Linked DNA regions of Coturnix japonica. The protein of the gene in region 2 interacts with the protein of the main gene of each other region in a biochemical or structural test. Links are inferred from orthologs where the notes say so. Each region holds a gene or a part of one and is shown on either strand. Other genes may lie near its edges.

Region 1 (7,183 bases), on a different chromosome or scaffold from region 2:
TTTATCATGCACAGTATTCCTTCATGTTCTGGAATAATTCATACTTCATTATGAACAAAAAATAAAAATTAAAAAACTAAAAAAAAAAACCAAAAAAAAAAAACAAAAACAAAAAACCAAACACCTAAACTCACTGTCCTTTGATTTTTCTATTCATTCTATCATTCTTTTAATTTTAAAATTTGAGAAAATCCTCATTATTTAAAATTCAGTATGAGCAGCTATAAAAACTCATAATGAGTCAGGTAAGGTTGAAATAAAAAAAAACAAACACGTTTATGAAATGCAGAAGAGACATATGTATGTGATAATGAGGAGTTAAGCTAAATAAATTACTATCTGAATCTAATTCCAGAGCTTGAGGTACTAGAGGAAGTAACTAACGATTTTTCATCTAATATTTCTGCTTGTATGCTGACTTTTCATCTCTGTCACTCACTAAAAACAAAAAGCTCCCTCATCAGGTAGCTGGTAAGAGCCACCTCATTTCACATGGGTTTCAGTCAGATTTGGAAGCAGCACCAAAGGCTACAGAGAGCCTGAAATACAGACAGAATTTTATTTGAGATGTGCAGACTCAGTGGGATAACACTCAAGCATTGCACACTGGAAGAACAACAAAATTCATCTTCGATGTTGTTATAGGAATATACGAAGGTAAATTAGGTACTGAATGCCTTCATGGTATTTCCATGAATGAACAAAAGCCTGACAAAAAGGATAAGGAAATAATTTGACCAGAACCCAAACGTAATAGTTAAGAACAAAAGAAATCTTTCAATTAGTTTACTACAGTACCCACGAGTGCAGGATTTCCTGTAATAATAATCAACGACTAAACTGCCTTTAATAAAACCACTACTAAAAAAAGGTATTGGAGAAAATAAAATATATGTAAGATATGAAGAGAATTAAAAACGTTACTAGTGCTGTACCTTCTCCCCCTTGCGAAAAGATACAGACACTGTAAGATAAGGGAAAGGTATTTTAATTTGGCTCCCTATAAAACCAGCCACAAGGTCAGATATAAAAAAAAAAAAAAAAGTCAGGCTAAAGACAGCACAATATGAATTAATTAAACCCATTCTCTTATCTCAAGTTCGGATGACCTGTGATTTAGAAAGCACAGTAAGAAAGAGACCGGTGCTATGTTTTTTAATTATTATTATTTACAACATTTGTTCTTTTCTCTATGTACTGTTATGTTCTACAGCTGGACATAGAAGTCTGTCATTATCTTGCAATAAGAAATAAAGTCTTTTGAAATTAAAACACAATTTGAAAGAAATAAAATGTAACTTTAGTATTAATACGCATGTGTAAATTAGTACGTGTTAATAGCGTGATTTTCAATGCTTTTAACTAAATGCAACAACATTAAAAATTTTCCTTATTACATGTGAAATATTTTTATTTTTGTGACTGAATACTTTGAGCATTTTATCTGGGTATATGCTAAATACAATTTCAGCACGCACCAATCTACAGTGAATATTTATTGTCCTAGTCACTTGTATCAGAGAATGCACTATTTTGCATCTCAAATCCAGTGTATAACAGGAGGATGCAATTCAAACTTTACAGTATTGCAAGCTAAACAGCACAACTGCTGCACCAAAAGGGCAAATAAGAATTTTCAAGGGGGCTTTTTGAGACTCTGGTTATATTACTTATTATCACAGCAAGAAAGCGATCATAAACTGATCATGATAGAATTTAAATTTTTGTATGGCTTTGGTTTTAGTTTTTTACGCCTTTACCACTCATACTAGTATGTTACATCAGAAATTCATCATTTTGTTACTTAGACATCTTCAAATCTCCAAAATCTATGTGTTTGTTGCCAGATTACACTGCCTTATGTTCTCTTTTGAATTCAGGTGGGATTGGAACAGACAAATGAATAAAGCAAATTGGAAAATAATGCACTAAAATTTTTGAAAGAACTTGCTCTTGTACCTCATGATTAGATAATGAGATGTCTCCCAGACACCGAACACCTATTTAGAATATTTCTAGCATACTATTTATAACTGGTATACAAGAATAAGAACCTAACATTTAATTTTGTCAATATGACAACTTCCCAAATATGGTCTTTGTGAAATTTTTAAACAGCAAAGCTTTGTCTATTTAATCCTAACAGTACTATGCCTCGTAACAGACGATAATCATGGGGAGGACTTTGTTCCACATTTCCTATTACCATGTCAAATGTGCAATACAGAATCAAGGCCAGAAGAGGCCATTAAATCAGTCTTGTAACTCTGTATTCGGATAAACCACCTGCACAACCAAGATCATACATTCACCTAATTTCCACTGCTTTAAGCCTCATATATTATATACATCTAAAATGCATCTTGAAAGGACATGCCTATCCTTGACTGAAAACATCAGGACAATGGGAATACACCGCTGCCCTTTAATGCTTGTTGCAGTGCCTGAATGTTACTACTACAATGTATGCCATTTTTATTTTGAAGTGTCCCACCTCCGCTCACTGTTAGAAAATAAAATAATGCCATTTCCACAGTTCAGTTTTCATTTCCAACTGATTCTTGGTTTTTCTCCCTCCTCAAGTAAAAAGCCCTCACTTTAGCCCATTTCCTGCATGTGCATTTCAGCTTCACAAACTCACTGTTCAGCTGTTTACACACCACATGTCCCTTAAACGCTTTCTAACAGAGTTTTGCCCTGGATAATCATATTGAAAAATAAAAAAAAAATAAAAATAAAAATAAAATAAAAACAACATGGAATCTAGTGCAAAACACACTTTCACACCCACATCACTGTTAAACAATCCAGATACTCAATGTTCAAGTACATTAATTCCTCCTAGAGTTATTGCCTTCAGTTGCTCTAAAATACATTTTGTCTGAATCAGTTCAGCTAAGAGACATATTAGTTGGGCTGCCTGGCCTAACCGTTATCTTTTCACTTGTCTTTATTCCACTTGATCCCCAAAACCGATTAATCATTTGCAAAAAGTGCAATCACCATCTGTTTTTTTGGATCAGATTCTGCTACAAGATTATCTCAGGTTGCGTGACACTGTGTTTAATAACCTACATTGCTGTTCCCAGCAACAGTTAAGTCTGGCCTCGACAGGGAAAGGATAACCTGGTTTTATTTTTAGAGGGTCTCTCCATTTGTATAAAAATCACCTGTATTTCACAAATAAGCTGACATGGACAGCATTTAGGAGCTAACCGTTCACTTTAATTTGCTATAGTCCATTATTATATGCCAGTAAAAAATTAAGCTATTAACAGTGCACAAAGATTAACAATGTGAGTACTGGTGTGTTTGATTATATTTTCCTGGAAGCTACAGTTCTATCAGTTTCTCACACATATGTCAGAAATTAAGTATATGCTTTCACAATTTCCAGTGCGTATTAAAATTCTTCTATTGAAGGATAAATATAAATTTAAAAAGAAATCATATTTAAATTTATAAAAATTATTTTGAAATGCAGCATGCTAGATTTATGCTTAATATATATCAAAGTTTGATTAAAAATGCAAGGCACATAGCTCTTATTGCAGCTCATTAAAGTGGTTGCTGACTGAAATACTGTCATTGAATCAGTTCAAACAGTTTGATTTGGAAGGATATTGTGCCTGTGAACTACTTCCTATATAAGTCACTTATCCTGTAAAGGATACCAGAGGTAAGTAATACTCTTACTAGCAGCTAAGAGCTGAACAAACAGCCAATTGCACATTTTCAGTATGCTTCTAGACAGTAATTTTAATATACTGCAACAAGGAGATTGTTTGCCACTCCTTAATCAATTATGATTTCATGTTTTCCCAGGAAACATTTACACTCATTATCTAATTTGTTTCCCATTTACTTACAGTTTTCATTATTTACAGATCACAGGCACAGTAAGCTGTGAGTTACAGTTTTGTTTTATCCTCTGCTATTTTTATGGTCCCGATATCATGGAAGATTCCACAAGATTACACAGTCCTTTACACAAAAATGAAAGTGTAGGGCAGACATATTTCAATATTCTGATTTCTCAGCATAGCTGCTTAAAGAAGAAAGAGAAATTCTCTGTTGCACTTACCTGTAGAAGGCTGGAGGAGCAGTTTCCCTCATCCCGAAGCTGCCCTGTTCGTTTTCAAGGTAGTAGGGTACCTGCTGGCTGTGGTGATGGATGAAGGGTGAGAGCTGGGGTGCCGTTTGCAAGAACACCACTGGGCTTGGTGGGACATTGTTCAGAGAGTGAAATCCTGCCAGGCTGCTGGACCCAAAAGATTCAGAAGTAGGGGCATAACTGAGTGTAGTAGAGCCGTACACTGGAGCGGTAGTACCAAAATCGTAGGTGGCCCCTTCTGGGTAGTTAAAAACTCCTGTCTTGTTGCTTTCCACGTACATGTCGCTGAGCGATCGTTCCAGGGGAATCTTCAGCTGAGGTCTGCTCAGAGTCTCCAGTTCAGTGCCTTGAATCTGGTGCAGCAGGGTAACTCCAGAGGCTTTGGTGTGAAGGGTCATGGTCATTGCTAATGGCAGGGAGCAAGGAACATATCTGCTTTTACTGTCAACAGCAAGATCGGCAGCTGGCAGTCCACCTAAAAAAAACACCAGAACCTATTCTGAGGCTCAGCAGAAATCATGTTAAAGCAGCACTACACAGGTATTCCTCTGATCTCGGCGAGGAGGAGTATACAAACAAATGCAGGGTGAGCACTGGAAAGGCACATTCTCCCTCTCCCTCTAACTTTTGAGAACTCCTCATCTGCTCTAATATGCGTTACAAGGTGCTGGCTGCAAGCCAGGGGCTCTTGCCTTGTGCCGACGCTGATTTAAACATCACTTCAGAAACAATTAGTTTTGGAGGTACACCAAACAATTGTCCCACTAAATGTTACTTTATTCTTGCTAGTCATTTAATTTTTCACTGCAGGGCAGCCAGCACTCCACAGCAGCTAACGGGAAAGGACGCTGAAATCAGACCAGAAAGACTAGTCCAGTGGTCAGCCAGATTACTGCCTTTTATTTCCTCAGCAGGCTCCAATCTATCTGTGCTTATCTCTCCCTGTTTGATTCATTTTCATGTTTGCTAGAAATATGTAATGTGTACATTGTAATGACCCTGGATAGGACTATGCTGTAACTGAGATATGGCAAAGCAAAATGCATGTGCAAGCGCATGCATCTGTGTGTGTAACAAGTCTCTGTCAACAAAACTAGCTAACAGAAATTAAAGAATGTAAAAGATTTGTGTAGGACAAAAGGTTTATAACAAGCTTTATCAGTAACAGTGACCCAAACTAGTGAAGTGAAAATTTACATTAAAAAAAGTGAGGAAAAAATTTAGATTAGCCCATAAATTCCTGTCTGTTTCTGTTTTACCTTGTAAAACAATGAAGCAAAGCATCTTTCAGACTTTGCCATGGTAAGACCTTAGAAACTAGGAAGAAAGATTTCAGCGCACAAAAAAGGAATACAGGATTTTTTATTTTATTTTTTTCTATTCCCACAAACAAAAGCTCAGCAAGCTTAGATTTTGCTATCAACTTGAAAATAAAGTACTTGATTGGAATCAGTGTTAAAGTAAACTGAAATAATTCTCAAAGTTATCTTTAGGGGAAAAAAAAAAAAAAAAAAAAAAAAAGGTGGAGAAAGGACATAATGAAAAGGTGTGGCATGCATACCTCATCTTGCAATCTCATCCCAAATAATTTTAACTTTTCACAAACCACATCTCCTGAACCAGCTAAATGAAAACCTTCAGAAACCGTCCCAATTTCTCTAGCATCATTGTTGTGGTCTGCAATTCACTCAGTTAAACAGGTTAATGTTGACCCTAAACACATTAATATATGGACTTGAGTTAGTATGATTTGAATACGAGCAAAGCCTACACTAAACAACTCCACAGTTATTCAATGCAACCTTTGAAAAAATGCAAGAAACCAGAAAACTGAATGTATAGGTCACTAATAGCTTCTAGAAAAGTTTACTATAATCTTTTTTACCTTAGTAATAATATGGTGTTTTAGAACTTCTGTTAAAAAGCAGTCACTTATATTTCCAAGATTACACAAGTAATATATATTCGTACCTCTACTGACATGCAGCTAAGACAGCAGCACACACATAAAAATGTACTTGATAGATTTCCTCACCCTCCCCACCACCCTCCCTACCCTGTTCAAATTTCAGATTCTAGACTTTGATCAAAGAGATAAGCCTGTTTAAATAACACTGGACTAAACACATTCCCAGTAAAAAAAAAAAATAATAATAATAATAGACAATCATACCCAGAAGTTCAGAAAGTCTTCGAAGAGTTATTCTGAAAATATGCCAGAGTGTGAGAGGAAAAAAAAGAGAGTGTGTGCCTGTTTGCATAGAGTGGTTGAATGTGCCTCTGCAGAGACTCACAAAACAGCAAGCAAGTAAAGCTCTCAACAGCCTGTCTGCTGGGCTACACAGTCTGAAATGAATGGCAGTTACGAGTTTAAGGTCGGTCACTCTTATAGATTCATTTCGTGCTTCAGTAATACACAGAAGAAGCATTGTCTCATATTATGCTGCATAATCTGAGAATTAATGTGAGCCTGTCTGCCATATGAAGTGCCCGCTTCTTATGTACACTACAAAATAGACTTTAACTTTTTATTTAAAGCATTATCTGATGTGCATACTATTTCAGAAATACTACCTTGACACGTAATAAAACGTTAAAGCATAATAGCTGTGCAGAAGAGGGGAGATAGAAGTGTATGCACACAGAGCTGATTTCTGAACGTGTCCTGTGCAACCTCAGTGCTCTTTCTATGCAATTTCTTTTTAATGTCATGAATTATTTTGGGAGGATTGTGTGTTATCACAGACACAAATATTTAAAATTTCTACCATACAAAAACAACAATGAAACATATTGTTGCATTAAGCAAAAGCTGCATCATGTCTGCACCAGAATATTTAACCAAAGACCCTATGAACAATTTTCAATATACCAGTGTGGAAAGTTGCAGTCCTGCCCTTAAAAGGGCTCAGAAATAGATAACTGCAGTATCCACGCAACATATAGCCTAACACACATCTCAGCAGAAGAAAACGTGTCAAATCTCACGAGCAAGCTAGAAATCTCTGGTATAGCATCCTGTAAAGTTTGCCTCAATTTTTTTTTATTTTTTTTTATTTTTAATTATTT
Region 2 (7,416 bases):
AGAGGTGATGGGCCAGAGGAGATGCTGCCCAGGGAAGCCTAGCAGGTTCTTACTGAAAACAGAGCTCAAAACCTTAAGTAACTTCCATGGCATGCTTTAAAAAATAGCAGCAGCTGATCAATAAAAACCTAATATTTGTGTCACAGATCTGCGACTCACCTGTGCAGCTCTGAAGCTTCTGAATGAAAGCTCGAGATACTGGAATGGGACGTGGGAACTTCAAGAAGAAGCAAGCTGGTAAGTCCACACTGTTGGCACTGGTGATTGATGAGAACGATGGAGTTCTGGAACATTGAGTTAAAACAAGGTCTTATTAGATGCAGGGCATGAGTCTGGCTCCTGCTATGACTGCCAGACTTGCAATTTACTCTTTTCTCAAATACAAGCAGATTGTTATACTCTCTTAAAAAGTAAAAGACACTCCTCAAAAGTACACCAAAACACACAATTCTCAGCTTCACAAGATATTACAGTATAATGCAGTCATCTCTCCATCCTAACTTCAAAACCAGGCTGAAGTCTGGATTTGCATCTAAATAAGACCAAAGACAGGCCTGGCTGACAGGCCCTTTGCTCACCCTTTGCTGTCCACTGGATGAGAACCCATAATCAGCGGCGCAATGGGAAGTTTGTACATCGCCATGGTTCCCTCAACTGTCACTGACACGTTCATACCCAAAGATCGAGGAACTGCAAGACAAGGCAAGAAACAAAGAACAAGGTAAGCTGATGAATAAAAACCAAAGCTTTACAAATTATCCCAAGTGGAAATACATCAGTTTCTCCATGTAGCAGAGTAGTCCGCAGTGGCTTTCACAAGTGACCTACCATTGCTCTCGTGCAAAATAACAGGGGCTCCAGTGCCATCTTCAAATAAGTCATAGGGAGAGACGTAATACTTGAGATTCATAAGGAGACCTGAAGGAGAGAGGCTTATGAACAAGCATCTGGATGATGTAATTGAACCCAATCGTTATTAACCCCTGTAAGCACATAACATATGCACTGTAACTCTGCACAGAGCTTCTACAGCACCTTGAAAGAGCTGTCAAAGACTGGACATGGCCAACTGGCACAGTATTGCTATGCATGGCTTTGTAAAGGAGAACCAGCTTTCTAGATCATGTGGGACTTACAAATCTTCCACCACCCTGTCCCTCTATGATTAGCATTTTTCATTATTATCATTGGTTAATATCGATAAAGGGGACCCTGGACAAAATCATCTTTTCCTTTCTTTCTTAAGTGTTAACCAAAGATACCTCCGCTCCTGGGGGTGAGATAGCCAACACTGCCATGAAGAATCTTGTCCAGTGGGTTTGCATTGGTGGCTTGCCTGCAAGAGAGGCCATCACCAGTTTGTAATGAGCCAAAACCACATCTGAAGCCACAACTCATGTGCTGATGGAAGTCTGAAGATCTCCTCTTACCGCTCTCCTCTGCTAGCACAGCCTTTCTTAGACTTCAGACTTGTACTTTTTAGCAACAGTGTAATACAATACAGTGCCAATACATAGGCACTGGTACAATACTTCATGGATATACAGTGCTTGGCATGATTAACAACCAGGCAACGTGATACAGCAACTCAACCACCACAAAGCAAGCAGCAAATGGTAACAATGTGCTTACCAATACATCCCTGCCATTTTTGAGAGATCCAGCTCCAAGGACTGAAGGGCCAAGTACATTTTAGTTTTGAGTTTGCTGGGAATAAGGAAAAAAAAGGAAGAAACCATAAGAAAAATTAAAAGGCTTGAAGTCTTGTTCGCTTTCATACACGCAGTTGTAAATACATTGCATATTCTAGACTTACTTGTCTCCTGGCAACTTATAGAGGTTCACAAGCCCCCGCAGATGCTTAGAAAACTCATCAAAATTTTTCTCTCTGAAAGTAAAAGAGAGAAATGTATTCAGATCTGTTGTAGATAAGGCTTTGTTTTTAGAGGTTACACTAATACAAACACTAAATCACTTCAGAATAGGTTTTTGCTATATGAAAGCTAAACAATGCGTTCTTTAAATGATCCAGCTTTAATGATTCTGGTGAACGCTTTGCTGTGCCTTCCAAGATAACATGCACAGCAGTTAGGGTGAGAAACATCTGAAGCAAAGCCAGAAGATCTCCTGGAGAAGGGGAGAGACTTCATGGGGAAAGAGCAGTTCAGAAACGTTCTGTGTTTCCAAGCATAAAACAGAATCAGACCAAAATCAGAATGATGCAACAGCTCTTGTTGCTCACCTCAGATGTTGCACCAATTCTGGACAGCTCTGAAAAGGAAAGAACACACAGCAAAATCAACATCAAATGCTTCAGTGTAAGTCTTTGTGCAGCACAGCAGCTGTAAAATATCAGGACAGTGAAGTCTGTGAGCATCAGTTTTGATGAGAAGCAACAAAACACTCACAAATACAAGATTAATTTCCCTATTCTTCCCCCAGAAATGAAACTTTCAGAAGCAGCAGAACAAGCAGATATAACATTAGGTTTGGGGGAATGTTCAGTACAATCCATTTTCTCTGCACAAGAAAAAGGGAAGCAAAACTGCAGTTCCAAAAACAAAGGTATTTTTCTTGTATTTCTTAGCAATACGTACCACAGGATTCTCTCCATGGTGAGCCACCTTGACATCACATAGCAGCCCTGTAGGATCTAACTGGACTTCCACATAGAACATGTCTGAAGTGATGTAACATTCGGTGCCATTTGCACTGAGGTGTGATCCAAGGCTTAAATACAAAACAAAGCAAAAATTACTAAGAGATACACACAAGAAACAGTCAAACCAGCAGCAAAATTATGATGTATACAGATAAGTAGGAGATACAAAACTGCTGTGAAACAAAGGAGAAGATGTACCCATTTTGTCTGGCTATGGACTCCAGGCGATCTGTCATGGCAGGCAGAGAAGACACTAGACAAAGAAAGCAAAAATAAGCCTTAGTGATACGACTGAACATCTTTCCAGTAATGATGTATCAGCATTAAAAGCAATCCCAACTACTTACTCACACCCACTCCATACTCAAAAAACAAGAATCGTTTTGCATAGAGAAAAACAAACATTCTCAGTGTGGATTTTCATCCACAAGTGGAATCCATGTATGGGCAATAAGAATAAAAGCAACACAGGCAATTTTGGCTGATAATGACTCACAAGAAATAAGCATGCTTCTATAAGCACCACGAGCACACTGAGCTTTGCAAGCAATAACCTCGCAGGTTCCTCTAATACAGAGTATTTCCATAGTATATCACTGTTAAGCATTTCCTGAGTGCAGGCACAGCACGTACCAACCTTTTAATGCTTTTTGCAAGGTCTCCAAACAGCTCACCAGATGTTGGTGCCCCCCAGAGTTCATCACAAGTCGTTTTTCCTACGTCAGAAAGAAGAAAAACAGTCGTTTTAAAGTTTCACTCCATGAGAGGAAAATTACTGCAATTTTCATTCAGTCGAGTGAGGTTTATTCAGGTAATTAAAGGCAGATTGGATTTCATCCCCAAATTACACCCTCATTGCGATTCCTGTACCAGAATCATATCCATATTTGCAGTGGGTAAAACAGGCAGGTCTGGAATTGATTATTAAGCTTGCTCTTGTGAAAGATCAGACTGCAACAACTTCTTAAATAGCATAAGCTACGAGTTATATGAGAGGAGCAAGAGAAACAAAGAGAGATTAACTTTAACACCACAACACATACAGCAGCTTTTGATGATGCTCTTCCCTGCCTCCCACTCCTTTCTACCCTCACCAAGGTATTTCAAAGCTGCATCTGACTGAGATAACACTGAGTGTTGAGCATCACTGTAAAGGAAACCCCAGCACTTCTCACCATGACTTGACGGACCAGCTTCATGGTTTCAGTCCAAGGTCTGTTTTGGTTGTACTTTGCATGAAGTCTTTCTAAGAGAGCACTCATCTTATTCAGCTTCTCTGCCTCTGTCAGACAAAGCGGAATGAAAACATAGAAACAAAAGAGAACGTGAGCTGATTGCACAGCCCTTCCAAGCCGGGACACACTCAGCCTTTATAAATGTGTGCTGAATCCAATCTATACATTGTGGGGCTCTAAAACTCATTGTAGCACTTTATTAAGTTACATTGTTATGGAAGGCATCTCCCTGATACCAGGTATTTCTGGCTCCAACACAAGTCTATGGCAACATAACTGCCATAGAACATGACCCTACAAGGCCTATAGAATCAGAAGGGTTTATAAACTGATACACACAGATGTCATGGACTTAATGCCAACCCCATCAAATCAAAGCAGAACAAACAACCGAACGGTTCGCTACCACAGGAGCCCATCAGCCTTTATTTCCATCCACCACAGCCCCGCTCTGGAGCTGCTTAATGCCCAGCTTTGAGACCCATTGAGACCCATGGGGACCCCATTGAAGCCCATTCAGACCCATAGAAACCCACTGGGACCCATAGGGATCCATAGAGACCCAAAGTGGGGAGGGGACCCGACGACCCACACATGGTGAGTATGGACCCATAGGGACACATAGAGACCCCATAGAGACCCATAGGGACCCATAGAGATCCCATAGAGACCCATAGGGACCCATAGAGACCCATAGGGACCCATAGAGACCCCATAGGGACCCATAGGGACCCATAGGGACCCATAGAGACCCCATAGAGACCCACTGGGACCCCACGGCCGGGCTCCGCCGTTCCCTGCAGGCCCAACCGCCGTCCCTCGAGCTGTGGAACCCCCCCCATCCCGAGGAGGCCGGGCCTTCCCTCCGCCTCCACACAGCGCAGCCCCGCTAGGCCGCACTCACCCTCAGCGCCTCCCGGCACCGCCTTCATGCCTCAGGGAGGGGAGGGGCGGCCCGCGGCGGAGCCACAGGGCCGGTATCACGTCGATAAACGGGAAGGGATGGGGATAAACCGCGGCCGGGCCGCTCCGCTCCGGCCTCACACGGCGGCGCCCGCCGCCATCCCTCCGGCCGCGGCTCCCGCTTCTCGCGAGAACTTCTGAGTCTCGCGAGAGGTAGGGAGTCATGGTGAGAAGGGGGAGTGATTAGGGGGCGGGGCGTTGCGCTCAAGCCCCGCCCCCTGGATGCTGATTGGTGCTGAGCGGGCGGAAGGGGCGGGGCTTCGTGCGCTCCCCGGGACGGAGTAAAGTTCGTTCTCAGACCTCGCGAGAAGACGGTGCGCGCGCGCGCACTCCCTTCCGCCTTCCCAATTCTCAGCGCTTGAAATCTCGCGGGGGGAGGGCTCAGGCCGAGTCTCGCGAGAAGCAGCAGTTATCTCGCGAGACTTGGCGGGTGCCCCCCTTGGGCCGAGGAGCCGTTTCGCTTTGGGAAGTGAGCGGGGGGCGCTGGGCCGGGCCGGGGCGGCGGGGACCGAACGGGGCCGCACGGTGGGAACCCGGTACTGAGGGTTGGGACAGGGCGGGAGGGAACCGGACACAACGGGACCGGGAGGGATCGTGGGCCCAGCTCCCGCCTTCCCGGGGCTCCCCCCGCGGCGGCGCTGCCCTCCGGGCCTGGGCCCCTCGGATGAGGCGCTGAGGCCCGGTGTCCTTCCCCGCCGCTCCCGGTTCCGTTCCTTTCCCATTCTCCCTCTCCCCGTTGTTCCCTTCCTCCTCGCTCTCTCCGTCCCGCTCCCCATGCAGCAGGAGGTGCCGGGGGGCGGTGAATGGTTCGAATAGAGGGAGGCTGAGGGAGTTGGAAAGTCGAGGAGGATTTGGAGGAGCGCCCCCGCCTCCCCCTGTCCCAGCACAGTGGAGGAGGAGGAATGCCAAACCAAGAGAGACATGGGGGGAAGAAGGATGGGGGCGGCGGGGGGACCTCGCTGCACTCATCGGGCAGCTCCAATAGCAAGGAGAGGCACCGGGTGGCTTCAAGGCATAAGAGGCATAAATCCCGGCACTCCAAGGAGTCACCGTTGGCCGCCCAAGAGACGGCGGCGCCTCTGGGAGCTGTGATCAAACCGTTGGTGGAATACGATGATATCAGTTCGGATTCGGATACGTTCTCGGATGATTTGGCCCTTAAGTTGGACAGGAGGGAGAATGAGGAGAGGAAAGCGGATAGGAGCGAAAGGACGCAGAAACATCGACACCACCAGCACAAACGTATCCGTGAGCTGATGAAGAGCAAACAGGCAGAGAAAGAGAGGAAGTTGGAAAAGAGCCTGGAGGCCTCCAGCAGGTCCGGGTCTACCAAGGACAGGGTATCGGGGTCCTCTAAGAGACTGCTTGAAAGCGAGGAGCACCCGAAGGCCCCGTCCTCAAAGAGCAGCAACAAGGAATCCCGCTCAGCCAAAGCGCACAAGGAAAAGTCCAGGAAGGATCGGGAGCTCAAGTCCAGCCACAAAGAGCGAAGTAAAAGCCATCGGAAAAGGGATGCTCCCAAAAGTTATAAAACCATTGACAGTCCGAAACGGAAATCTAGAAGTCCCCATAGAAAATGGTTGGACAGCCCAAAATTGGATGACAGCCCTTCTGGAGCTTCCTACGTCCAGGAGTATGACCTCAGCCCGCCCCGCTCTCATACGTCCAGTACCTACGATCCCTATAGGAAGAGCCCCGGCGGCTCGTCACGCCGGCAGTCCATCAGCCCACCCTACAAGGAACCCGTGGCCTACCAGTCCAACACACGGTCTCCCAGTCCCTACAGCCGGAGGCAGAGGTCCATAAGCCCCTATAATAGGAGGCGCTCGTCGAGCTATGAGAGGGGGAGTGGATCGTACAGCGGGCGCTCACCGAGTCCCTACAGCCGAAGGCGCTCCAGCAGCCCTTTTGCTGCCAAGCGTTCCGTGAGCCGAAGCCCCATAGCCAGGTGTGTGCTCTCCACTGTGACTTCTTCCTCTTGGGGACTGGGGGAGGGACTGGGGGGGGGGAAAGGATGCATTGGGGTGGCTGGGTGTTAACCCTATTCTGCATCTGGATTGGGCCTGCTCTGGAGCAGTGCCATGATTTGGCAGCACGGTGTGTAATCACTCTGGGTCAGGTTCGTTGCTGTTTCCTGCAGTGGTGCTCAGCCTTGAGGAAACACCTCCTGGCTGGCACTGAGCAGCATCCATGTTGGCTCCCAGCAGTGGCCAGGGACAGAGCGAGCCCCGGGGATTGAGTTACACTCACCTCTGGAGGTGGCCCCCTGGCAGGGGGGGAGCTCTGTGCAGCACAGGGCCCGGATGCTCCTCAGTGCTGTGCAGCTCAATGGGAGGAATGTGTTCACCTCTGCTGGAACCCCTTATCTGTTTGCTGCGTGTGGAAATCTGATCTCACTCTTTAGGAGGTTTGTTTGTATTCTGTGTGTTTTGCTCTTTCTGAACTGACTTTTTTTCTTTCCTCTCTCCCTGAATTAGATGAGCGCATGTAAACTCCATCTTTTCAGCTTAAACTTTTCCTTTCTCAGTACTAGAGTTACTACTTTCCCTTCTGAAA
Region 3 (7,193 bases), on a different chromosome or scaffold from region 2:
TGCAAGGGCTCTGTATGGCTTAAAGTGGGCAGCTGGACCTGCCTGGGGCTCATGGAAACATCCAGCATCTCCCTGTCCTGCCATGAGGGAGGGCTGGTCTGTGCTGAGGGCAGGGAGGGGAAGGCACCCACCTTCCTTCTTCATCCCTGCTCGGAAGCACTTCTTAAGCCTGCAGTATCGGCACTGGTTTCTTTTGTCTTTGTCTACCACACACTGCCTGTTAAACCTGGGGAGAAACAGAGGAGTGAGGAGCAGTGAGACTGAGCCTGCGAGAGGGGAGGGGGAGAGGGGAGGGGTAGAAGTGGGCTGAAGTCCCCACATCTCTCCAAGGCAGTGTTGGCTCCAGGAGGTTCTTGCTGACCTCTGGACAGCATCGCTGGCACACAAGCAGCTCTGAGCTGCCTGTGCTTCAGAGAGGAGATGGCAAGCACCCAGCTCCTTCCCTACCCACTTGTATCACCACATTGATTGCAGATGACGGTGCATTACACTGATCTCCCGTATGCAGCATAAGCCTGGTAGCCATTTGCAGCATGAATTTCACTTGCAAATATGCTCTGATTAGCTGCTGATTGATCAAGCTTGCAAAGACAAAGGCATACAGATCTATGAAAGGGCTCCCAGCCATGCAGAGTTCTGTAGCTCTGGGAAGGCCTGTTTGTAACACACTTTTGAAAGCCCCAAGCTAAGATTTGCTCAAATGGATGCCAGAAAGCAGATCTTTAAGCACTGTCATAAAAGATCTGGTGTCAGGAGAACTGGGAGCCTTGGCTTTTCCCACTAGAGCTGTGGGGAGGGGTCTTCTTGGACAGACAGCCTAAACAGCCCTGCCTTGCAAGCAGCCGTGTGCTTCACATGCACTAAGTCCAGAGCTTATCGCCAGAGGATGAGGTCAGGGAAGACACTGGAGGATACAGAGGAGATGAAGGGCCATGCTGCAGCACTCAGCTTTGCTGCACAGCTGCTGGGTGCTGTTTTGTTCCCCTCTGCCCTTACCTGCAGGAGTACATGTGGTTCTTCCTCACACTCCTCCTGAAGAAGCCTTTGCAGCCATCGCAGCTGGAAGCCCCATAGTGCTTCCCTGTGGCACGGTCCCCGCAGATGGCACACAGTGCGCTCACCCCAATGCTGTTGGAAGTGTTGAGGTTGGCTGCTTCTGATGGAGATGTGTCTGCTTGGGAAAGGACACAGCAAGAACACAGTGAGACAGACAGCTGACAACTCCTAACTCCTTTTCCAGCAAGTTACCAAAGAACTGGGCAGCTGCAGCAGGTCATAAGAAGTGGTGGGTGCTCCGGGTGTCCCAAGTCTTTGCATCTCGAATGTGCTAATGCTGCTGCTGCGCCAGGGTGAGCAGCTCTTCCCAAAGGCCCGACTCCAGCAATGCCTTCAGGATACACAGAAACCCGTTTGCAGCTGTCACAAAGCACAGCCAAAATTCCTGGGGGATTTGCAGATGCTTTGGGCCTCTGCAGTATGGCCAGAGAACGAGTTGGTGCAGTTTGAGCTGAGGTTTTACAGCTTGGGGTGAGCTGCTGGTTTGATAGCGAAGTGTTGGTGTTACTGCACTGAAAGAGGCTTCAAGAGGCTGTTAGTGCACAATAATTGCATATGGCTTCAGCTGGAGAACTCATGGACAAATACCCACCATGTGAGGAGGGACTGACTGGGACAACCCAGAAAGAAAGGACAGCACTATAACATGGCGAAGGCTGTATGCTGGGTACCTTCCAGAGTATGGGATGTGAGATGCACCCTGCAGTCCTTACAAGCTGTAAGGGGACTGGTATGTGTAGTGTGTTTTTGGGAGGGTGGGGAATTGCAGCAGCCTGTGTAGGAGAGAACACCTGAAAGGCTCAAAACCATACAAGCCCTAGACTAAAATCCCTCCGGCAAGCCAAACAAACCCCAAGGCTGAAGGGATCAGCTCACTATTCAGTTGATCTAATTGTCCCCTCCCAAGCACATTTTCTTGTATCAGCATGGGACTCAGAGGAAATCCCGTTTGCAAATGATACACCTAGGATCTACAAAGCCATAGAAACCTACTGAGACTTTAACACCGGAATATGTCAATCCTAACAGCCCTCTCAAAGGACAGCAGTGGAGATCAGCAGGCCAACAGAGGGTCAGAGGATGACAGAATAGCAAGGAGGACCTCTCAGGCACTGCTCGTGACCCAGCCTGCATCCCATAGCACAGAGGTGGGCATTGTACAACCAACAGGGCTCCCAGAGAACATTCACCTTGCATTTCTGAGGGCCTGGCAGTCACTTTGAGGGGTGAGCACTGACCTCCCCAAGGCTATGGGGAACAGCTCAGTGCTCCTCATCTCCCCTCTCACCTTCTCCTTCCCCACACCCCCATTGGGTTTGGCAGGGATGCAATTAACACTTACCCAGGAGGGCCGCATTTGCTCCCACCTGGCTCCCATCAGAGAGGGGCTGCAGAAGGATAAATGCTCTGAGAGGGCTGGTCCCAGGATATGGGGGGTGCCTTTGCTGACTGGGAACTGTGAGTTGTAGAGGGTTAAGGTAAGTACATCAGGTGTAGGGCTTCAACTTTAGTTTCTGCTTAGCAGGAAATGGGTTGAAGTGGGCTCTGCAGCAGGATGTACACAACCTCCTCATGCTGCCCCTTGATGTAGATGTGTGGGTACAAGTGACCTGGGGTGCCTGCTGTGATCCCAGCAGTGAGCTCATGCAGGGCATCTCCACCAGCTCTTTCAGCAGCTCTCACTTCCCTGCCTGCTTTCTTTCTAATTCCTCACATCTTTCCTCTATTGCTCTCCTGAGTCACAGTTTGCTCTCTCCAGGCCCGGCACACCCTGCTGTACTGCAGGGTTGAGGAGCTGTGTTCCTGTGCCAGCTCTGGAGGCTCCTTCCTCTGCTCCTCAGTGCCGGGCCCATGTGTCCCTCAGTCCTGCAGGGCAGAGCGAGCAGCTTTCCTCCCAGGTCCTTCCTCTGACTGCGTTCCAAGGGCTCAGCTGGGTGATGCTGGATGATGCTTCTTCCAGGAAGAATGTTAGGTTTTCAGTTCCATTGAAATGTGGAGCTTTGCAAGAGAGGAAAACAGAGCCAACCCATACCCAATCACTATGCTCATCTGTGATGGTTCACATAAATCTCCTCTAGCAGTGTGTGTATCATGCTGCAAACAGGTAAGGAAGTTACCAAAGAAATCTCACCCTCTTGATCTAAGAGCTGACCAGAAATAGAACAATTTCTTAATGGATAACTTTCCAGTTAAGCTTACTTTTATAATGCCAGAAACATGGACTTCTGGCTGCTGTGGTGAAGTGAGTTTAATGGCCATTCATTTGGAGTTATATTTAATTTGTGTGGTACCTGCCTCTTGCCAGGTGCTGGGCACATGCAGCACAGAGCCAATGCCCCATAACCCAGCTGGCTCATCTGCCCATAGGCTGTGGGATGTGACACTGTGCCTGGGCCAGTCCTGTAGGACCCCCAGATGTAGCAGAACCCAGCTCACAGCCCCTGTGCAGGGCAGGTCCCCTGGCTTCTCCCTGCTGGGAGTGGAGCTGTGCCTTGTCCCAAAGGTTCAGCTGCTCACTGGTGGGGCTAAGGAGTGGCTTTGGGGCATGTAGGGCCAGCCCTGGGCAGGGAGATGTGCAGCTTCAGTTTCATGGGGAGCAGAGTTTCATCCTGAGGAAAGCTGTGCTGCTGGCGCTGCACTGGATGGGCCACTATTGCAAATTCTAGCAGGTTCAGTGTGATCCCACCTTGCTGAGGGAGCCCATCTCCCCCTAACCAGGGCTGCTGTCTCCCTTCCAGCCGGGTCCCCCCCTTAGCCCTGCAGCACTGCAGGCCCCGTGCTCCCCCTGAACAGCAGCACTGCGGGGCCATGGCCTCAGAGCAGCCCTTGGGTGGCATTTTGGGATGATTTGCACCCTGGCCATGCACCAAGCAGCTTTCTGCTGTTGGGAAGATTCAGCTCCAGCTGCTCTTACAGAACAGGGCTGGCTTTCTGCTGAGCCACAGGTAGCAGTTTGTTGGCACTTCTTGGTTCTTTTATTCCTTTCTGTGGGAGCCCAGGACTGACAAGACCCCTCTGCCCTCAGCTCAGTCTGAAGGCTGCTGAGAACCACAAATCCCATTCCCGAGGCTCCAGGGCACCTCTCTGGCACCTCGCTTTCCCTCTGGGGGCAGCAGGATCCCCACCGTGCCCCCCACCCTCCTCAGTCCATTCAGTGACCACCCTGGGGATGCATCGTCCCGTCGCCACCGGAGGGGACTTACCGCTGCCCATGGCCAGCACCTGCATGTTCTCAAACTCCAGGGTGGTGTACGCCGGGTCCAGCGCTGCGCTATAATCGGCCATCTCCATGTCTATCAGGGCTTTGGAAAGGCGCATTATCATCGGCAAACACGGGCCAGATTGTGCCGATTCCCTTGTCCGAGGCTATTGGCCCTTCTGCCTCTCTGTGCCTTCACTGCGTCCCCTATCTGTTGTCTTTTATTTCAAATATTTCTCTGAAAGGATTTGCTGAGCCTCAAGACCTATACTCCTCAGAGGGGTGGAGGCAGGGGGTTAATCTTTAATCATCTCACCCACTGCTAACGCTGGGTGGCTGTAGCTGTTGACTTGGCTAACGCTGCTGCCTGGCTGTTGGCTTGGCTTTTTTTTTTTCTTTTTGGTGGAGCTGCAGTGATTCTTGTTGACTGTTTATGATTGCATCTCGAGGCGCTGTGCTGATCCCAGCTCCCAGGAACACACGGGGAGAAGCACTCACCACTCAGGGAACACCTTTGTGGGGCTGTTGACCTTGGTGCTGGGCTGCACCAGTGCTGGGAAGGCTGGAAAAATCCCTGCCTGGGAAACAAGGCTGTGCCCCACTCCTACCTCTGCGTTCCCCTCTTTGCCTTCACTCCTGATCCCTCCTTTCTCTCTCTCCCTCCCTCCCAAAGCATTTCCCTTCCTCTCCCTTTCCCTCCCAGGGAAGGTCAGCACCCACATTGCGATTTACACGTTGCTATGCAAAGTAACAACGTAGGACTCATTTTACTTCCCTATAAACCCAGTTTTACAGGGGCTGAATGCCCTATAAACAGGTCCCGCTCCTGAGCTGTGCCCAAACAACCTTTGGGGTGAGGGTTTGCCTGAGTGCCAGGCACGCAACAGAAGGGATAGTGAAGGGACGAGTGGGGCTGGTTGGGTGCGCTGGGCACAGCCAGGCTGCTCTGTCCTGGCAATGGGCTGCCTGCTGTCACACACACCCTGGCCTGGCTTTGGCCTCTTAAAAGTTTCATTGGGTGTTTTATGGTGCAGCAGGGCTTGACTCTGCAGCATGATTTTTCCTTCTATGAATTCAGCCAAGCAGAGCTCTCCGCTGCATCACGCCTGCTGGCATCACCAAGGTGTTGTGTCAGGACCCCACTGAGTAGCAGGGCTCCTGCTTCCCCCCTGCCCACCCCAGGAACTCTCTGGGCCCCCTGCTTTTCCTCTGCAGGGCTGACAAGTTTCAGTGCAATTTGCACCACATGACAATGCAAGATTTAATTGATTACCCAACGGCGTCGTCTGGATGGCACGGGAAAACAAGCAATTAATGATTCAGCATCAGCTCGCTCTGCATTGAAAACATCCCCTTGATTTCACAATCAGCACCAGGTGACCGAGTCCACACGCTGCCAATTTGGGCTCCAAACTTGCTTGTGTTTGTGCTTCTCAGTGCACCAGCACAGCCCTGACTCCCCAACCCCTCCTAGCCACAGTGTGGCCCTGAGGTCCGTGGCCCCACAGTGAAACGTGCTGTTGGTGCAGTGATTTGCTGATCACGTTTAGGAGCACTGAGGATTATTCAGGCAGTCCTCGCCTCCCATCATGTACCGCTTCCAGGGAGTGCTTTTACCTTACAGCCAAGGAGCAAAACAGAGAGCAAGGAAAAGCTCCTGATATCTTAATTGGGGTTGGCAGTAAGTGATCATCTTCTGCTGGGAAAATAGCACCTCTATTCTCATGCAGTCAGTGGTTCTCCCCTGTAGCAGCAACAGCCCTGAGCCAAAATTGCAGTAACGATGTGCACCAGGGTGGAGGTGGTGAGACAGAGCACAGCCCCGAGGTGGCCTCATCCCAGGGACCTCCGTCCCAGCCCTGCTTGGGCCACAGTGATCCCTTTGATTAGATAAATGCTACAGACACTTGGTCAAATATGTGCAGGATTTGCCACAGTGTCTAGTAAAATACCATAAAAGCATGGCCCGTTTTGCTCCATTCAGCAAAACAACCCTTTTGCTTCAATAGCCTGCTGACAAAATAAGGCCATTTGCTCCTAAGGGTGGGAAGGGTTAAGAGAGCCAGGAACAGAAGACGGAGAGGCACTGTGTGCAGGAGAGGCAGATAAGGAGCGGGGAAGTTTGGGGAGCATTAGTGGCTCACGAGGCAGGGATGCAGAGTTTTCCATCTGTGGGTTTATGTGGGCTATTATTTTCTTGCTACTGGTGCCCCCTCACAAAACCCTTGTCTCAGCACTGGGGTGAAGGACACTACGCACTTCCTTTGCCCTGGGGATGGGCTCATGGCACAGAGACCCTGCCTGGAAACTGAGCTGCTGGATGTCTCTGTCCCACATCCCCACATGGTGGCTTTTGGGGTCAGCTTGCCAATGTCACCGCACCCTATAGTAGTTAATAGGATCACGATGTGCCGCAGATGCTTTGGGATAGAGATGTTTTCTGTATCCTCCAGCTATGCCAGGAGGTGGCTGCAGAGGAGCCATTACAGCCCCAGGGCGTGCAGCCTTCTGTGCTAAGTGAATATTTGATTTTTATCAGCTGAGCGATAAATCCTTCTGTCTTTTTCCACTATAGCACCTCATGACACAAATTCCACTTTATATCTTTGGCAAACTAATCCAAAGCGAAAGGGAATTCCCTGAAAATAAGACCTGTACTTATCAGTAGATGAGGATCGGGAATAGAATATTTAATGTGGTGTTTATGGTAAGGATACCATTGGGTATACCGTGCTTGCTAGCTCCTGGTCTGAGGTGGGTGAGCCTCTCACAGGGCTCCTCCACAATTGAGTGCTGTGTGACCAAAGGACAATTCAGGTTAAAGGGGACCTCAGGAGTCTCTACCCAACATCCTGTACCACACAGGGCCTGCTGAGAGCAGCACGGGCTGCTCAAGGCTTCATCCCATTGGATCTTGAGCATCCCTAGTGCAGGAAAG
Region 4 (7,284 bases), on a different chromosome or scaffold from region 2:
CCTCTCACCCCCTGCCTCCTGCTCCAAATATCATTGTGGCAGCCACACTCAGAAAGGCAGAACCAGTATAGCAATAATTTACATAGAAAACAGTGCAGAGACACCTAGTGAAATTTAGGAGCTGACAAAAAGGAGGGAAGATCCAATTTTGCCACAAGCCATTAACTATAAATCATTAGCCAAAGACAATAAGGTAGAATTAGAAATGACAATCTAGTGCTTGTGCTTATATTTTGCTTTAGACAATCGATTATTCTTTCTTTCTCATCTACCTGCCTGGAAAATGTGATAATGCATTACTCACAGTCAGGCTGGGACAGAGAATTAGGATGCTGTTTATTGCATGGAGAGCCACAACATGCTGTAGAAGTATTAGGAATGGTTATTATGCGAGAGGACTACTAAGGAAATGCTTTCTTTGCTCCGAATTGTCTCTTTACATCAGTCAGGACAACCCAGGGCCCACATTATCAAGCACTCCAGCACTGTTCTCAGTAGAATCATGTATGACACAAAATTCATCAAGCTGCTAATGGGACATTTTTGTTCTGCAGGATTCCTAAGAGATCAAGTGGAAGTGTTGTTAGATTTCTGTTTGAAGGTAAAGCGATGTATCTAAAGAGAATTAGCTAAAGGAGCAACAAGAGAATAAGCCAACAGAAAGGAGCCTGTGACAGATGCACTCAACTTTAAGGGGCTAACTACACTACAGAAACACCTCATGATGGAAACAAATATTAGATCATACCTTCTAGCATTACAATAACACAGCTTAGCTATGAGGGCTCACGTACACTGAGGTCAATCACAAGCCTCACGTCAAACAGTTCTGTCATCTGATCAAAGGTACAGTTGACCAATAGCATAAATCTTAATGCTACCACTCCCCCATTACTAAATTGTGTTCTCCGTCACAGGAAAGAAGTTAATGCTACCACTCCCCCATTACTAAATTGTGTTCTCCGTCACAGGAAAGAAGTTACATTCTACAGAAACATCACTTATTTGTCCAATCCCTCTTTGCTAAAGAAAGTAAAATGCATGAAATTAATCTATTCTCCCTATACTGAAGGTGATATCCTGTCCTAACCAGTGGGTGAAGCAATGACTAACATTACTCCTCAATTTGATGATGTGGGGTCAGTTGCCCATAACAGATTCCAACCTCTGGGGCCCTGTGCAAGCAGAGGCGCTGCTCTTAGCTCATCAGTAACATTGCAAGTCTTTCTGGCACACATTTTGCAGCTTTCGTGGCTTTTTTAAAAGAGCAACCTCAGTGACTTTTGACATGTTATGTAAGAGGGGGTGGATGCAAGAGTAAACAGGCAAAATGTGGCAGTTACCAAATCAAACTTAGGAACACCTGGCAGGGAGATGAGTGGGGTAGAACAGCTGCTGTGGAGCTGCATTCAAGAGCAGAGATCTACCTCTCTGAGGCTTCAAGTAACTGTTTTTACCTTTATCCTAACAGTCAACACAAAATAAGCCTTTTTTGATACAAGACTGTGCTTATCATTCTCAGAGTTGTCCTTATCACAGCATTAGATTTTTTATTCCTTATTGTTTTGCATAAGCATGGTCAAAATAATTGCATTGAAAGCATAAAACACTGATTACTGCTTTCAGCTGTACCTATTGGTACACCTTTGTCACTGTGTTTCTCCAAGATTTCCTTTAGAACAGCAGCTCTTAAGTGTTTTCCTCCATTTCAGGGCTGGATATGGCTCTAACAAGAACCAAAAAGGTCTGTTGAGCCATTTCTCATCATATAACCCTTATTCTGTTCCCTTTCCATCTCACTCCCAGTATTTCAACTTCAAAATGACAATTAAAAGTTAAAGAACAAGTTCTTACATAAATGTATGACACACAGCATCTGAGTGACAATTTCAGCTCCAGTACTTGACTGCTGCATGGAACAAGTTAGAAATAAAGAAGATTTTTCTGCTATGATAAAAGGAGATCAGCCAGTCTGATTTACTGTCATAAATAGTTAAAATTCATGAGTCTCTTCCTTCTCGTGAAAAGAGAATCTGGTTCAAACAAAAAGAGATGATAAAAGAAGTTGTTAGTTTGGTATTACTTTTACAATCCGGGTCATTTTATGTGTCATTGTGAGACATCTTTTATTCAGGAGCAGGGCCATTAAGAAAAGTAGAGAAAAGAAAAGACATGTGCAAACTGTTGGCATCTACAGTTTCTGATGGCACCAGCTTTTTTTTGCTCACTCTGCAAACAAGGCCATTGGAATATGTTTAAATAAATGGGCTTTCTTTTCCCACTGGTATTTATATGTTACCATCTTCAGCATCAAACCTTTGTTAGCAGCAGTTGTTTTTGCCTGTACTACCCTCAACTCAAAGAGTCTTTAGCACTTATTCCAGAACACTTTTTTTTCCTTCCCCGAGAGTTCATTCAGGCCTCAGATAAAAGCAACAGGAGAAACAAACAGGGCACAGAATTTTAAGCAGCTGAGAAAAATCCCCTCCCTCGGTTAATTGTATAATCTCAGTTTGGATCATGTAACACTGCAACTGTCTATTGGAACATCCCAGGAAATACAAGGAATAACTATAGAAAGGAGGGAAAAAAAGGTTATTTCTAGCTTTTTAAATTTAGCATAAAAAACCCCGAATGCAGTTTTCCCTTTCTTCCAAGTCAGTTTTAAAGAGAAATTTCTGACCTTTATTCCTACAATTGAAATGGTTTCAACTTCAGCTGGTTTGACCACTTGAAATAACCAGCTTTCCCCTCAATAAAAAAAAGAAAGCAGAGAAAAAAGCACAACAGTCATCACCCTACATGCTACAAAAGGAAACACACGGGAAAGACTTATCCTCAGACAAGCTTTGAACAATATATGGTATATAGTATATATCACCCTCCCAGAATAACAGAGAAGCAACCCTGGAGGTTCTCAGCTTCCAAAACAGAAGGCCTGTATATTTCCATCCTCACTGCATTGTGAGCTAGATGGAAACTGCAACAGCTGTACTCCACTCCTCTCAAAATCAGACAGGTCCCCAAATCCATTCTTGACCCGATTACAGCACTGAGAAGCATAATGCAGTGTTGTAGCAGGATTGAATGCTTTCTCAGCAAACCCTTTAGACCAGCAACTTTCATTTCCAAAATGCACTTCAAACAGGCTTTTTTAGTCCTAAACTCTCACTGGGACTGTTTCTGTATTAACATCAAACCCCTGTCCTCCACACTTTGTGAACCTGCAGCGATCATCCAGTTTCTTTGCTGCACTGACACCACATAGCAACAGGAATAAAGCCTTAGAGTAGGATGGGAACACAGTACTGCTCCATCCCATCACCAACTGTGTTCACAGAATCACAGAATGACCCGGGTTGGAAGGGACCTCAAGGATCATGTAGTTCCAACCCCCCTGCCTGGCAGGGCCACCAAACATACACCTTTACTAGATCAGGTTGCCCAGAGCCCTGTTCTGTCAGTTCCCTGTCCCCAATCACTGTTTTCTTGAATCACATCCTACAGACAAACCAATGAGCTGTGCAGCTCCTTGGGGGCATCACAAGCAATGCAGCCTCAGTGTATGGTATCCAACAATCCGTCCCATCTCCATGAGAAAAGCACAGAAAGCTGATTTTCACAGTTCACATGTGGGTTAACACAGAGCACTGGTTATATAAAATGGAGAACTGCACAGATCAGAGCAGCCTCACAAGGAAACACCTCCCTCGGCACCACTGCTTAGAGGACATCCTTCTGAGGGATAAAACGGCTGAATGAAAAACCATTTACTCTTAGCAAAGTCTGAAGGGTCCCATAGTAGCCATCTGCAACCCTAGACCATAACATACTGTAAGTTATACGTATGCTGACTTATTTAATAAGTGACCAGCAATTTGCGTGAGCACAAAGCACAGCGCAAAGGCGGCTTCTCCATCCCTATGCACAGACCCCCTCTGTGCACATCCAGGGACCGTGCAGCACTAAAGCCAGCACCGAACAACTCGGGGGCTCCCATCTCGCTAAGAAACTCCCTGCTCCCCCCATCCTTAGGGCGGTGAACAACGCAGGGGAGGGACACGCACAGCACAGCAGCCCGCCGGGGTGGAGCAGCGCTTGCGCTGTGGTTGCAAATGAAAGTTTAGGGCCCACGTGGGGGTCGGCGTGTCCTGCAGAGCGATTCGGATCCCTGCTGCGTTTGGCTGCTGCCCTCCCACCCTCGCCATGGCCCCCGCAGAGGTTCTCAGCGGCAAAGTCGTCTCCGCGTACGTACCCTCTTCTCGCAGGGTCTGCCGAGAGGGAGGGAGGTTTTCCTTTCATAAGACCTCCCCAGGGCTCAGCGTGGGGGTCTGCTTCTTGTTGGCCCCGTCCAGCGTCAGCCCATGGCTCGTAGTTGTTCGGCATCTCTGTGCTAAGTGCCCAGCCCGATGCGATAAGTTGCAACCACTGCCTCTTCTCTGTGCTCTCAGGATGCTTTTTGGGCCTGAGCTGGCAGCTTAGGGGTGGTCACTGCTTTCAGAGTATTGGTTGCTTCTTTTTAAAGCTAATTAATTTAATCTGTGGATCAGATAAAATGAGGATGAGTGTTAACATGTGGTTCACGGGCACAGGTAGATCTAGGGAACCCATTATACTTGTCAAAACTGTTGGGAAGATTTGTCAGACTTCCTTCTGCTTTCAGCTTTCACTCACCTGAGCCTCGTGCCATGTAGTTTTGCTTATTTTCCCTATTGCTGCTCTGCAGTACGTTGCTATGCGTACATGTCCATGCACTATATGTGAGTACACTGCTGGTCTTACACAAGGAAAATGCAGAATTTAGCTAAGGGTGTGATAACCCCCCTGCTGTGGGAAGGGTTTCCAGTCACTGGACAAGGCTGCTCAGAGCCACATCCAGCCTTGCCTTGGATGCCTGCAGGGATGGGGCATCCACAGCCTCCTTGGGCAACCTGTTCCAGTGGGTAACGTGCTCCAGTATTTGTCCAGGATTTGGACAAATGATCTAAAATAATCTCTGAGAAGTTGTTGGGGCTCATCTTTTTAATTTATAGTTATAGTGGTGACTCTTTTATTTCTGTTTGCTTTCAGTATTACATTAGCGGTTGTTACAAGAAATGAATGGTGTTCCAACACCTGAAAGAAAGCAAGATTGTAATAGGTGCATGCGGGAGAAAGGATTACTTAGTTTCCAGCACAGCTCTGAGGTTCTTGGTTGAAGCCTGTCTTTGAGCAGACATTGAACCTTGACCTGAAAACAGCACAAATTGGGGGAAAATAATTGCATCTGTACAGATGTTTTTCATTTCCTTTACATCTCCTGTATTTATGCTCAACGTAGCAAAACTGTATCATGGCCTCCAGGTATCACATATTTTTTCTCTAGTGGAGTGTTTGTGAGGAAATGGACTGTCCACGTGCAGATATGTCTCTTTTTCCTGGCCCTATGGAGAAGTGCTGAGCCAGAGGATTCTCAACATGCAGAACCACTGTCAGGCCAAGAGTCTATCAGAGAAAGAAAGAAGCAAGTGATAGGCATGTGCTCTTTCTAGGAATACTCAACTGAATTTTTCTGCCATAGTAAGGGTGTGTTTCTCAGTACATCACCTGCAAAGTCCTTTTAGTTACAAGGGTAGGGTTTTTCTATTATTTTCTATTATTTTAGGCATTAATTGTTAAAATTTTGCTTGTAAGTCAGTCAAATATTAACAAACAAGGAGAATCAATGAGTCAGTGTTCCAGCTAGTTAATTCTGAGTTTATGTATGTGTTTGAAATGAAGAACTCCTAAGTCCTATCAACTTTCTTCTCCTGCTACCAGCCACCCCTTCCAAAGAAAGGTGAAGGAAATGGCTAACTCAGAGTCATGTCATTTATTAAAATAAAAAGCAAAAAGGTAAATAGCGACATTCTTACTTTTGTGAGTCAGTTGAAGAGAGAAGATACTTAGAAAGGTGGTGCTTCCTTGTCTCTGAGATCAAGGATAACTTACTCAGGAGATAAAGCTAGTTAATATCTAGAAAGTCTTTGAAGGTTCAGAAGAGACACAAAGGAAATCAGTCAATATATGTGAGGATAGTAGATGTGATTTTATCATGCGTGGAAGGGAGAACATATAGAGCAGCAGGCATTGTGATTTGTGTAGGATTTTGCTGCCTAAGTTAGTGATACTTTGAGTAAGGCATCTTCTTTCAGTAGAAACAAGCTCTTCTATTCAGTCTGTGAGAGATATTGGATGTATTACAATGAACTTGAGTGTGAGGTGAGAGCAGGAGACTTGTGGATTGATTGCAGCTCTGTTGTCTAAACAGCATCTTCTCCCAAACAAAGCTAGGCTAGGTCATATGTTCAGCAGCATCAAGTACAGTCCACAGAAGGGATGGAAATACAACCTGATTATTTTTTTATCCTAAATTTGGTGCCACTTACATCACAGCTACCCAAGCCATGACATGTAAAGAATCCAGCAGGTGTGGTGGAATCTGCCTGGGGAGATCCTGGCATGAGAGCTGTGCTTCTCTCTCTCTGTGTTTCAAGCAGAACTGGAGGAGGGTGGTTTGTCCTCAGCTATTCTGGGAAATTCACTGCATGAATTTAAATTCTGCTCACTTCTGCAGTCTAGTGAAAGAAAGGCTAACAACTGATTTAATCTTTGGAACTGGCTTTTTCATTGTATGCTTAAAACCATGTGCTGTCCTTAACCCGTGTGGACCCTGGACTTGTGTTTGCAGTGGGAGTTTGTTTGTGGAAGAGCCAGAAGTACAGGAGGTGTCTGAGGAGGGAAGGCTCTTGGAGAAGCAGCCCTGTCCAATTGCCAACTAATGTTTGAAAACTCGAATAAATGTTGGTACTACTAATAAATTTGTCAATATGATTTTTTTTTCTTATCTCCGTGAAGATCTGAATTATTCTGTCATGTATCTGCAAAACTACAGAGACTGCTTTTAGTTGCTTTTCACTTAATTTTCTCTCTGAACTTTGCAACCGTGGCTTTCCTGGTAACTAGCAAGCAGCAGTAATTAACGCTAGGTGGCTGTCTAGCAAGTAATTTCAAGGCTCCTAAGGCAATTCAGCACTGGCAGCACCGCTTGTGTGTTCGTGCATGTTACCTTTCTTGTATAGCTGAAGGGGAAATGAGCTAGTGCCTAATTGCAGAAAATGGCAGCAGTGTAACGTGTGAGCAGTTGTGGCTGCTTGATGTAAAAGCATGCCATAGCCCTGCTTTGCAGAGGATGGAGAGGAATAAATCCTCTGATGGGAGGATGCAGCTGTAGTGGTGCTGCCTTCCCCAGGGGATGTACAGCAG

What was found.
Region 1: the proteins of MED1 (region 2) and ESR1 form a complex in vitro, tested with the Homo sapiens proteins (6 studies listed by BioGRID). The link is inferred for Coturnix japonica from reciprocal best matches to the Homo sapiens genes MED1 and ESR1.
Region 3: the proteins of MED1 (region 2) and HNF4A form a complex in vitro, tested with the Homo sapiens proteins (2 studies listed by BioGRID). The link is inferred for Coturnix japonica from reciprocal best matches to the Homo sapiens genes MED1 and HNF4A.
Region 4: the proteins of MED1 (region 2) and ESR2 form a complex in vitro, tested with the Homo sapiens proteins (2 studies listed by BioGRID). The link is inferred for Coturnix japonica from reciprocal best matches to the Homo sapiens genes MED1 and ESR2.

Annotation. Positions count from the first base shown.
Region 1 is NC_029518.1:44,171,235-44,178,417, reverse strand, and holds the start of ESR1 (estrogen receptor 1), read right to left. Parts: upstream 4,519-7,183; coding exon 4,085-4,518; intron 1-4,084.
Region 2 is NC_029542.1:3,840,712-3,848,127, forward strand, and holds the start of MED1 (mediator of RNA polymerase II transcription subunit 1), read right to left. Parts: upstream 5,007-7,416; 5' UTR 4,830-5,006; coding exon 4,802-4,829; intron 3,945-4,801; coding exon 3,838-3,944; intron 3,379-3,837; coding exon 3,300-3,378; intron 2,916-3,299; coding exon 2,861-2,915; intron 2,731-2,860; coding exon 2,598-2,730; intron 2,272-2,597; coding exon 2,243-2,271; intron 1,889-2,242; coding exon 1,817-1,888; intron 1,708-1,816; coding exon 1,633-1,707; intron 1,337-1,632; coding exon 1,263-1,336; intron 919-1,262; coding exon 829-918; intron 691-828; coding exon 579-690; intron 285-578; coding exon 160-284; intron 1-159. Other genes in the region: CDK12 (cyclin-dependent kinase 12), read left to right, coding at 5,763-6,808. UniProt on the Homo sapiens protein: Component of the Mediator complex, a coactivator involved in the regulated transcription of nearly all RNA polymerase II-dependent genes.
Region 3 is NC_029535.1:4,772,063-4,779,255, forward strand, and holds the start of HNF4A (hepatocyte nuclear factor 4-alpha), read right to left. Parts: upstream 4,519-7,193; 5' UTR 4,381-4,518; coding exon 4,260-4,380; intron 1,175-4,259; coding exon 997-1,174; intron 227-996; coding exon 132-226; intron 1-131. UniProt on the Homo sapiens protein: Transcriptional regulator which controls the expression of hepatic genes during the transition of endodermal cells to hepatic progenitor cells, facilitating the recruitment of RNA pol II to the promoters of target genes. Activates the transcription of CYP2C38.
Region 4 is NC_029520.1:48,167,159-48,174,442, reverse strand, and holds the start of ESR2 (estrogen receptor beta), read right to left. Parts: upstream 4,519-7,284; 5' UTR 4,256-4,518; intron 4,248-4,255; coding exon of another isoform or gene 4,207-4,247; exon of another isoform or gene 4,095-4,206; intron 1-4,094. Other genes in the region: MTHFD1 (C-1-tetrahydrofolate synthase, cytoplasmic), read left to right, coding at 4,207-4,247.